Oryzias latipes: one gene and its partner. The protein of the gene in region 1 interacts with the protein of each later gene in a biochemical or structural test. Links are inferred from orthologs where the notes say so. Each region holds a gene or a part of one and is shown on either strand. Other genes may lie near its edges.

Evidence for each region.
Region 2: the proteins of usp8 (region 1) and stam2 form a complex in vitro, tested with the Homo sapiens proteins (3 studies listed by BioGRID, with this or other methods). The link is inferred for Oryzias latipes from reciprocal best matches to the Homo sapiens genes USP8 and STAM2.

What each region holds. Positions count from the first base shown.
Region 1 is NC_019861.2:13,664,432-13,668,258, forward strand, and holds part of usp8 (ubiquitin carboxyl-terminal hydrolase 8), read right to left. Parts: coding exon 3,626-3,827; intron 3,531-3,625; coding exon 3,320-3,530; intron 526-3,319; coding exon 289-525; intron 209-288; coding exon 66-208; intron 1-65. UniProt on the Homo sapiens protein: Hydrolase that can remove conjugated ubiquitin from proteins and therefore plays an important regulatory role at the level of protein turnover by preventing degradation. Converts both 'Lys-48' an 'Lys-63'-linked ubiquitin chains.
Region 2 is NC_019879.2:4,395,990-4,399,816, forward strand, and holds part of stam2 (signal transducing adapter molecule 2), read right to left. Parts: intron 3,561-3,827; coding exon 3,476-3,560; intron 3,309-3,475; coding exon 3,233-3,308; intron 2,727-3,232; coding exon 2,631-2,726; intron 2,388-2,630; coding exon 2,241-2,387; intron 1-2,240.

The DNA of each region.
Region 1 (3,827 bases):
TCCAAAGCAAACAGTGATGACAAACATTTTGATCACCTTGCTGCACATGGTGGATGTCCACATACCGTTTTAAGTGCACCAGGAGGATGGGTGGAACCTTCCAAATCTCCAGTTTCTTGGTTGAATCTCTGTGGGCTTTGCAGTGTCTGCAGAACACTTTGTTGTTGTCGGTCAGTTTTTCCTCTTTGGAGAATAACCTCAGACAGTCCTGCAGAGTAACAGCACACAAACTCAGGTTTGTACCTAAAAAAAAAACTGCCAGCCTGGCTGGGAGCGCTTCAGACTGACCTGCAGGGAGCACTTGCTGGTGGAAGCCAGGGGCAGCGACAGGTACATGAAAGTCTCAAACGTCCGTGACTTGCGATGGCAGGTGGAACACTGCACTGTAGACTTGAACTGGCCCTGGAACAGGGCTACAATGATGGACTCGTTGAGGAGTTTGTGTTTGCTCCAGGCCAGGTCAGCTGCGGTCTGGTCATCCAGATGGTCGTTTTCCTCCTCTTTGTATCGTTTCTTATTGTCCGCCTGACGATAAACGACATGTTGGCTCACATTAGACATCTGCTAATCTCACTGTATCGATGGAAAACACATCAGCCGCAGTAACTGAACTTACTGTTACTATATAGAAAACTATGAGTATTTCAGAAATTAATGAATGCCTCATTGAGCATGCAGATCAGCCACTTCACCCTGATTACAATAAGCAGGAGGATATGAACAGCAGCTTAGTTCTTCCTAATCAATAGGCCTGCACAATAAATTGCAGAATTATCGTTATCGGGATGTCAAACTGTGCAATGCACATATTGCACAAGTCGCTGAAAATTGCAAAACTGGTTACCTTAAATGTGTAAAACAATCTTATGGCAGCTTGAAGTTTTTTTAACGAATCAAATAAATCCATTTATGCATTTGACCAATCGGATGGAGCCATTTTATGTTAGATGCTCGCATTTTATGTGCCGTAGATGAGGGTCATTTGGATTCTGATTTTAGTTATGTTGTTGACTGTCATTTAAATTAAACTGTTGCAGTGAAATGCAAATGATGTATTTAGTTGTTTTGCTATTTGTTCATGTATCGCAAGTTATATCATTATCGCAATATTGATCACTAATAACGCCAATCGCGAGTTTTCCTCACACCGTGCAGACCTACTCATCGACATCGACAAAGTGGATTCAGACTGGACCTGCCATGGCTGACAGACCGGAACATCACACACAGACATGATGGATGGAGTGTGTCAGGAAAAATGTTTAACACAACAGGGGTTGACATAGCCCAGAAATTTGCACTGGCCCACAGGGCCAGTAGTTTTTGAAACTTACTGGCCCTGCCTGAAAGTTACTGGCCCGACACCGCGCATAGCGGGACCCGCCGCTCCGCAGGTGCTTGCAACTTTAGGGGGGTCCGGGGGCATGCCCCCCCGGAAACTTTTAATATGGTGCAATTTGGTGCATTCTGGTGACATCACTTATTTCTACACTTTTCAATGACTGAAAATAGACCATATCAAACTTAAATCTGCTCTAGTCTGTTTCAGATGTTTTGAAGAGAGCACTGCAGTGTAGTAGGTAACACTAGTTCAGAAGTTTTCATGGTGCTTCTAACGGCAAATATCGCAATAAATCATAAACCTTAAATCTGTTAAAACAATCTAATGGCAGCTTGAACCATTTAACGAATCAAATAAATCCCTTAATGCATTTGACCAATCGGATGGACGCCTTCACATTGTTGACCAATCAGATGGAGCCCTGTTATGTTAGATGTTTGTAACCTATGTCAACGTGGGTCATTTGGAGTATAATTTTTAAACTGGGAATGGTTATTTGGTTATTTTGCTGTTTGTTTATATACCGCAAATTATATCGTTATCGCAATTTTAATCTCTGATATCGCATATCGCGAGTTTTCCTCATATTGTGCAGGTCTAACTGAGATCATTCAGCTAACTAGAAATACTTACTGCTTACAGTGTTGTAAAGAAAAACAAAATTAAGTAGTTTAACATTCTACTGCATTTGAGTCTGAGATTCAGGTATTTGGAGTTGCCTTTGATTCTTTGACATTCAGCTTAAAGCTTAGTGCATACAGTTTCATCTTCAATGCATTCATTAAATATCTTGCTGTCCATACTACTAATTATACCCACTACTCCATCCAACATATTCCTATCTATTCCTGCCATGTCTTCCACATCTCTGACATGCTTCAGTCTCTCTTCAGTGACGGTGTCGGATTTATAATCAAATGTAATAATAACCCACTGGCTTGTGCCTTCGTTGTTGCTGTTTAACATTGTTTGGTATTGAATTGTTACATTCAATAAAGTTTGAAAAAAAAAAGTAGTGAGCGCGTGCCGCGTGGTGCTCGGCAGTGAAAGCCGCGCGCGCGCAGGCGGGAGAGAAGGAGAAGTGATCAAAGGTTTCCCATAGAAACCCTTGAAGTCTGAACACAGGACTAGCAGAAAAACTAAATTATGAAGACGAGGTAAATCTACACGTTTTCGCAAAATTTACTTTATTGAAAAAGGTGAAGAATATATAAACCGTTCGATATTTTAGTGGCCCGAGCGGACAAGTGAAAAGTAAAGTCTTGTGGTCCGCACTGCTCGAAAAACAGGACCGGGCCAGCGGACAAATGGCTATGTCGAGCCCTGCACAAGCTGCCACCCAGCACCCATTTTTTTCTATCGTAAAAGAAGTGATGGGAAGAGTGTCAACACAAGATCCTTTTCTCCTCAATAACTCCTCACTGAATGTCAGGAACTATCCCATTTTAAAACACAAAGGAGAAATTGACAGACATTCATGAAGTAACCAAGAGTTTTAAACTACAAACTTAAAAAACATTTTAACCAGTTAATCCATTAGTTTAAATTGTTAAATGGATATAAAGCCAGTCAATACGCATGTTTTGGGTCCACATGCACAAAGAATTGCACAAAGCATCGGAGCAGACAGATACAGACACGGCACATGAACACTTCTGCAGAGGGACCAACAACACACAGCCAGTTACTTACTCTCTAAATTTGCCATCAAAATGAAACCCAGTGTAAACAAATAAAAGACAGAAAGAAGGAAAAAAAAAAAATTCATAAAAAAAATGTTTTAATTGTCAACAGGAAAATGTGCAACAACAAACAGGTGTTGTGGAAGGAAGTCCTCAGAAGGGCCATTTTATTAAGTGAAAAAACATGTTGACTTTGTGAACGTCTAACGTCTTCTGTATTAATGATAAGTAACCGACTTTAAGTTTTGTGCAAATTCATTTGGGCCAAGTCATTTAAAAAGGCCTGATGCACTACCTTGTTTAGGTCTTCATGAAGGCCATCCATGAGGAACAGCAGCAACTCTTGGGAGTCTTGTTGGTCATAGCCAGCAAACTGGTCATTGATCTTGCCAATGGTGATCTTGAAGTCACGTGGACTGATGCACTTGTACAAACCAGCCCACAGGGCTTTCATAATCACACCAAACTCCTCTGCAAACTCCCCTTTGTGCCCAAGAATGTTGGATCTGCCAAAAGATGAAACATAAAGCTTTAACTGGCTCCCTGATTTTTATAAACAGTTTTTGATATGAAGAAACATTTGCTGTTTCTAAAGTCTTACCTGTTAATATCCTCCAGATAGTAATTGCTATTGAAGTACTCAGCCATGGCAGGAGTGTTGCAAAGACACTGCAAGATGGAGTTCATGTAGCAGGTGTTGCCAAGGTTACGGAGGCCAGTAAGTGACGCACCCATCCCTCCGAAAGTAGGATTCAAGCTGCGAATTTTGGCTGCTGATGGCCGTGCGATCTCTACTTTAGAGT
Region 2 (3,827 bases), on another chromosome or scaffold:
CCACTTTTGTTGCACCGGCAATGTTAGGTTGGGGCTGAGAGGCTGTAAGTTAGCCGGAGAGAGTAAGCAGATGGGTGATGGGAAGTGGGGGCAGGGTTATTTCGCGCCAACAATCTTCAAGCAAACCTCAGAGGTGAATTTCTAATGAACTCTTGCGGCTCTGCAGAAACTGTCATTTTGGCAAACAAGGACATTATCATAACTAAAAGACAACTGGAGAAGCTTTTAAAACAGATCAAAGGATGATTGGAGCGGGCCTTTAACTCTTTTTTCTACAGGGCAGCAACACAGATGACGCATATGTGGGCCGGTTGCTTCAAAACAATCTTAAGAGTAAAGTCCACAAACACTCGTGACGAATATCCAGTTACCTAACCAATTAGGAAAGAAATAAAAAGGTACAAACAAAAGCTAGAGGACGATTTATTGTGACACTAAAATACATCCCAGGATTTTTACGAACATATTTTGAATATAATTTAAAGTAAAGTTTGCGTTTGCCTAATAGCTTCTAAAGCTTTCATTAAATTCAGTCCAGACCTTTAGGCAGTGACAGAAGGAGCAATTAATGCATCAATATTTCTGAGGTCCACACTCATTTATTAGGAGTTGAAAACCATCTAAAGCAGGGGTGGGCAAACTGCGGCCCGCCTTCATGTTTGGTCCGGCCCACTGAACAATATCAGAGAACCATGTTTATTTATTTTTATCTGGCAACACGATCAAGACGCGCATAGAACGTGACATTTTATTCCCCCCCTTTTGCAGTCTGTGCTCCAACCTGAAACCCTCTAAAATCTGTCAAACAGAACAGAGACAGTCTTCCCTTTCTACGTCGTAGTTCATCTTTCCCGGTTTTAATCGTTCTTTTAGAGCGATTATGCTGCTGTTTTTTAAAACAGCGCATCCTGTTCTGTGTCCTGATTGGCTGGAGACCCTGTCAATCAATCTCCTCCGTGTGTCTCCTGTACAGAAACGTGGAGCTCTTCAGATCAGAAATCTGGGATCGATCAGATCTTTGTTTTCATTCTAAGATCCTGGACTTAATTTCTATGAAGGTTTGAGAATTGAAACAAGAGAAAAGGGTGAAAATGTTCTGTCTGAGAAAAGTGTATACTCTGTGGATTTCACTGATCACGGGTTATTTTTAGAACGTAACTCCTGCAACAAACAACGGAACTCTGTACTGGTGAAAAGGTAACACAGATATATGCGTAGCTGCAGCAGAAGACATAGAAATGTGCTTTTTTCATTATTACTGGACGCCAAACAGACGTGCAGGACACAGCTGTTCAGTTTCAGCGCAAACTGTGAGACGTGTGAGGAGCTGCAGCCATCAACATCTCAGCGGGAAAATGACGGCAGAGGATCCACTGGATCCATCCAGAGGATCCATTGGTTTTTCTTTTTAATGCATCAGTATATTTTTTCCTGACTTTTTGTCTTTGAAAATCACAGTTATTTGGTCTTTTTTTATTTCATAAATAGTGTTATTTATTTTATTAAAAGGATCATGATTTAAGAAAACTTTAGTTTAGGGCTTTACAATAAAAGAAAGATAAAAGAAGTTAAGAGTTTTAAAGAAACAGAGTTATTGTTTGGGGCCCCGCTTTGGCATCCATGTGGTGTTGGAAGATTTGTTGTTTTTTATTCTTCCTATTATTCAAACACCACATGAACGCAGCATTTCTCTTAAGTTTTACACGAGGTACATCAAGCCGTTGGTGCAATTGGCTCTAAAATGAGAACGCAGTTTTTAAAATATAATTTCCAATCCAAATGTTTTCATCCAGATTCCATGTTATTTCTTTGTCACTCCACGCATCTGCTCCTGGTCCGGCCCTTCTATCCAATTTGAGAACCCCGTGTGGCCCGCCAGTCAAAAAAATTGCCCACCCCTGATCTAAAGAAACAACTGCGAATATATTTTAGCTCCTTGTACTAAAAATATATGACGCTACCATTGCACGAAGCCAAGTCTGAATTTAGAGGAAAAGACTGGCTTGAGAGGGGCTACTTGGAGGATTTCTCCCTTCAGCTAAAACACAAAATGACAGTAGAACATTAAAACAAAAATCTGCATCACAGCTGAGTCTCAGTGTGGTGTACTGTAAATATACCAGAAACTTTATAAAAGCCACCCTCATGTTTAAGTGGGACTATAGCCTGACCTCTTTCACATAAAGGAGGATGTAAAACCTTTGGAGCAAAAGCTCATTGTTTGAATGAGTCCAACACACCTGTGATGACGCGGTGGGGAAGGTGATACCCTCTTCTTTGAGGGACTTTATAGTAGCACTAATCAGGCTGAGCTGCGGATCCTTCTGAAAGTCCTCTGCCCACTCTACCATCAGGGCCTTCAACCTTTCGCAGACTTTAGGATGGGCCTGCAGTGGACAGAAAACACAAATATATCACACCCAGAAGGAAATCATCATTTTTCTTTCAAAGCAGAGTTCCAAAACAGTTCAAAGTTTTAAAGACGTTTAAAAAAATTAAACACATCTACTTTTTATTTAATCTTTTAAGACGTTTAAGGGCCAACATGACTGTTGATTCTATTATAAAGGAATAAATAAAAGATAAATAGCACATAAATTTTAATAAAAATAGGAGAAAAAAGGACTCACTCTGCTTAAAACAGATCTCACTTCACTGGCAAAATCTCTTGAGCAAATTTCCAAATGAAATATTTTGCCACAGTTTGAAACACAAGCGCCGAGCAACTGTGAGGGAAAAGACAACATTTCAGTGTTTTCTACTACACAGGACATCTGCATTACAGTCTCATTTAAAAACAGGTTTTCCCGTACAAAGAAAGTATTTTTTCAGTTCAAATTAGATTTAAATGCTACTTGTCCTGCTGTTGTTTAAGTGTGTGAAAACAGATCTAAACCTAGAACCATTTTCCTCCTTACGACTAATATCCTTCAAGCTTACTGAATGTCTTTTGAATAGTCAACACTTGATTAGTTTGAATTAAAATCAGCAAAACTTGACCAAAAAAATGCATTATTGAAACTGTGGTTGAAGTTAGCCTATTTTTACAATTGGTGTTGTATTTTGGAAATATTGTATCACCTAAATATTAGTTTATAATTCCACAAATATGAAACTGTCACCCTGACTATCCCAAGTAAATCACACACACAAATATAACACATAAAATAATCCCACTTTTGAATTGTGTCGGTAATTTTCTTTTATTATTTAAAATTCATAACCAACTCACATTGAGGGCTTGCATGGCGACATGAGGCACTTTGTGGTTGACTCTCTTCATTATGGATTTTAAGCTGTCTTTTGCTCTATACCAGGGAAAAACAGGATTATATATATATATATATATATATATATATATACACACACAATTAATGCTATACACTTAAATATATGTGTACAGTTAGTTATTGAATAATTAGAAATTTTTAAACGCATACTTATTACAAAATAAACACAAATTCTTGCAGTTTACCCATTGGATGTCGTTCCAATCTTATCACAGATGTCCAGAATAAGCGCCCAGTCATCTGTTGTGTTGTTTTCATTGGTTGCTTTCTCTAAAAATGTGAAAAAACAACATGCAGTTGAGTGTTAGCAAATCATTACGGTTATCATCACTGCCACCTGCTTTCCAACCCAGTTATTTGAATAACAGAAGTCCTAACCGGCATTTTTCTTAAAGATAAGTGATCCCTGTGAACGAAAAAGTTTAAATATTTTAACAATTTACAGAGTAATTTCTACTTATTTCAGCAAACGGTTGAGTAGAAACGTAGTGGATCAGATCAAAAGTTCTTTTATAAAAGGTATACAACTTATTTATA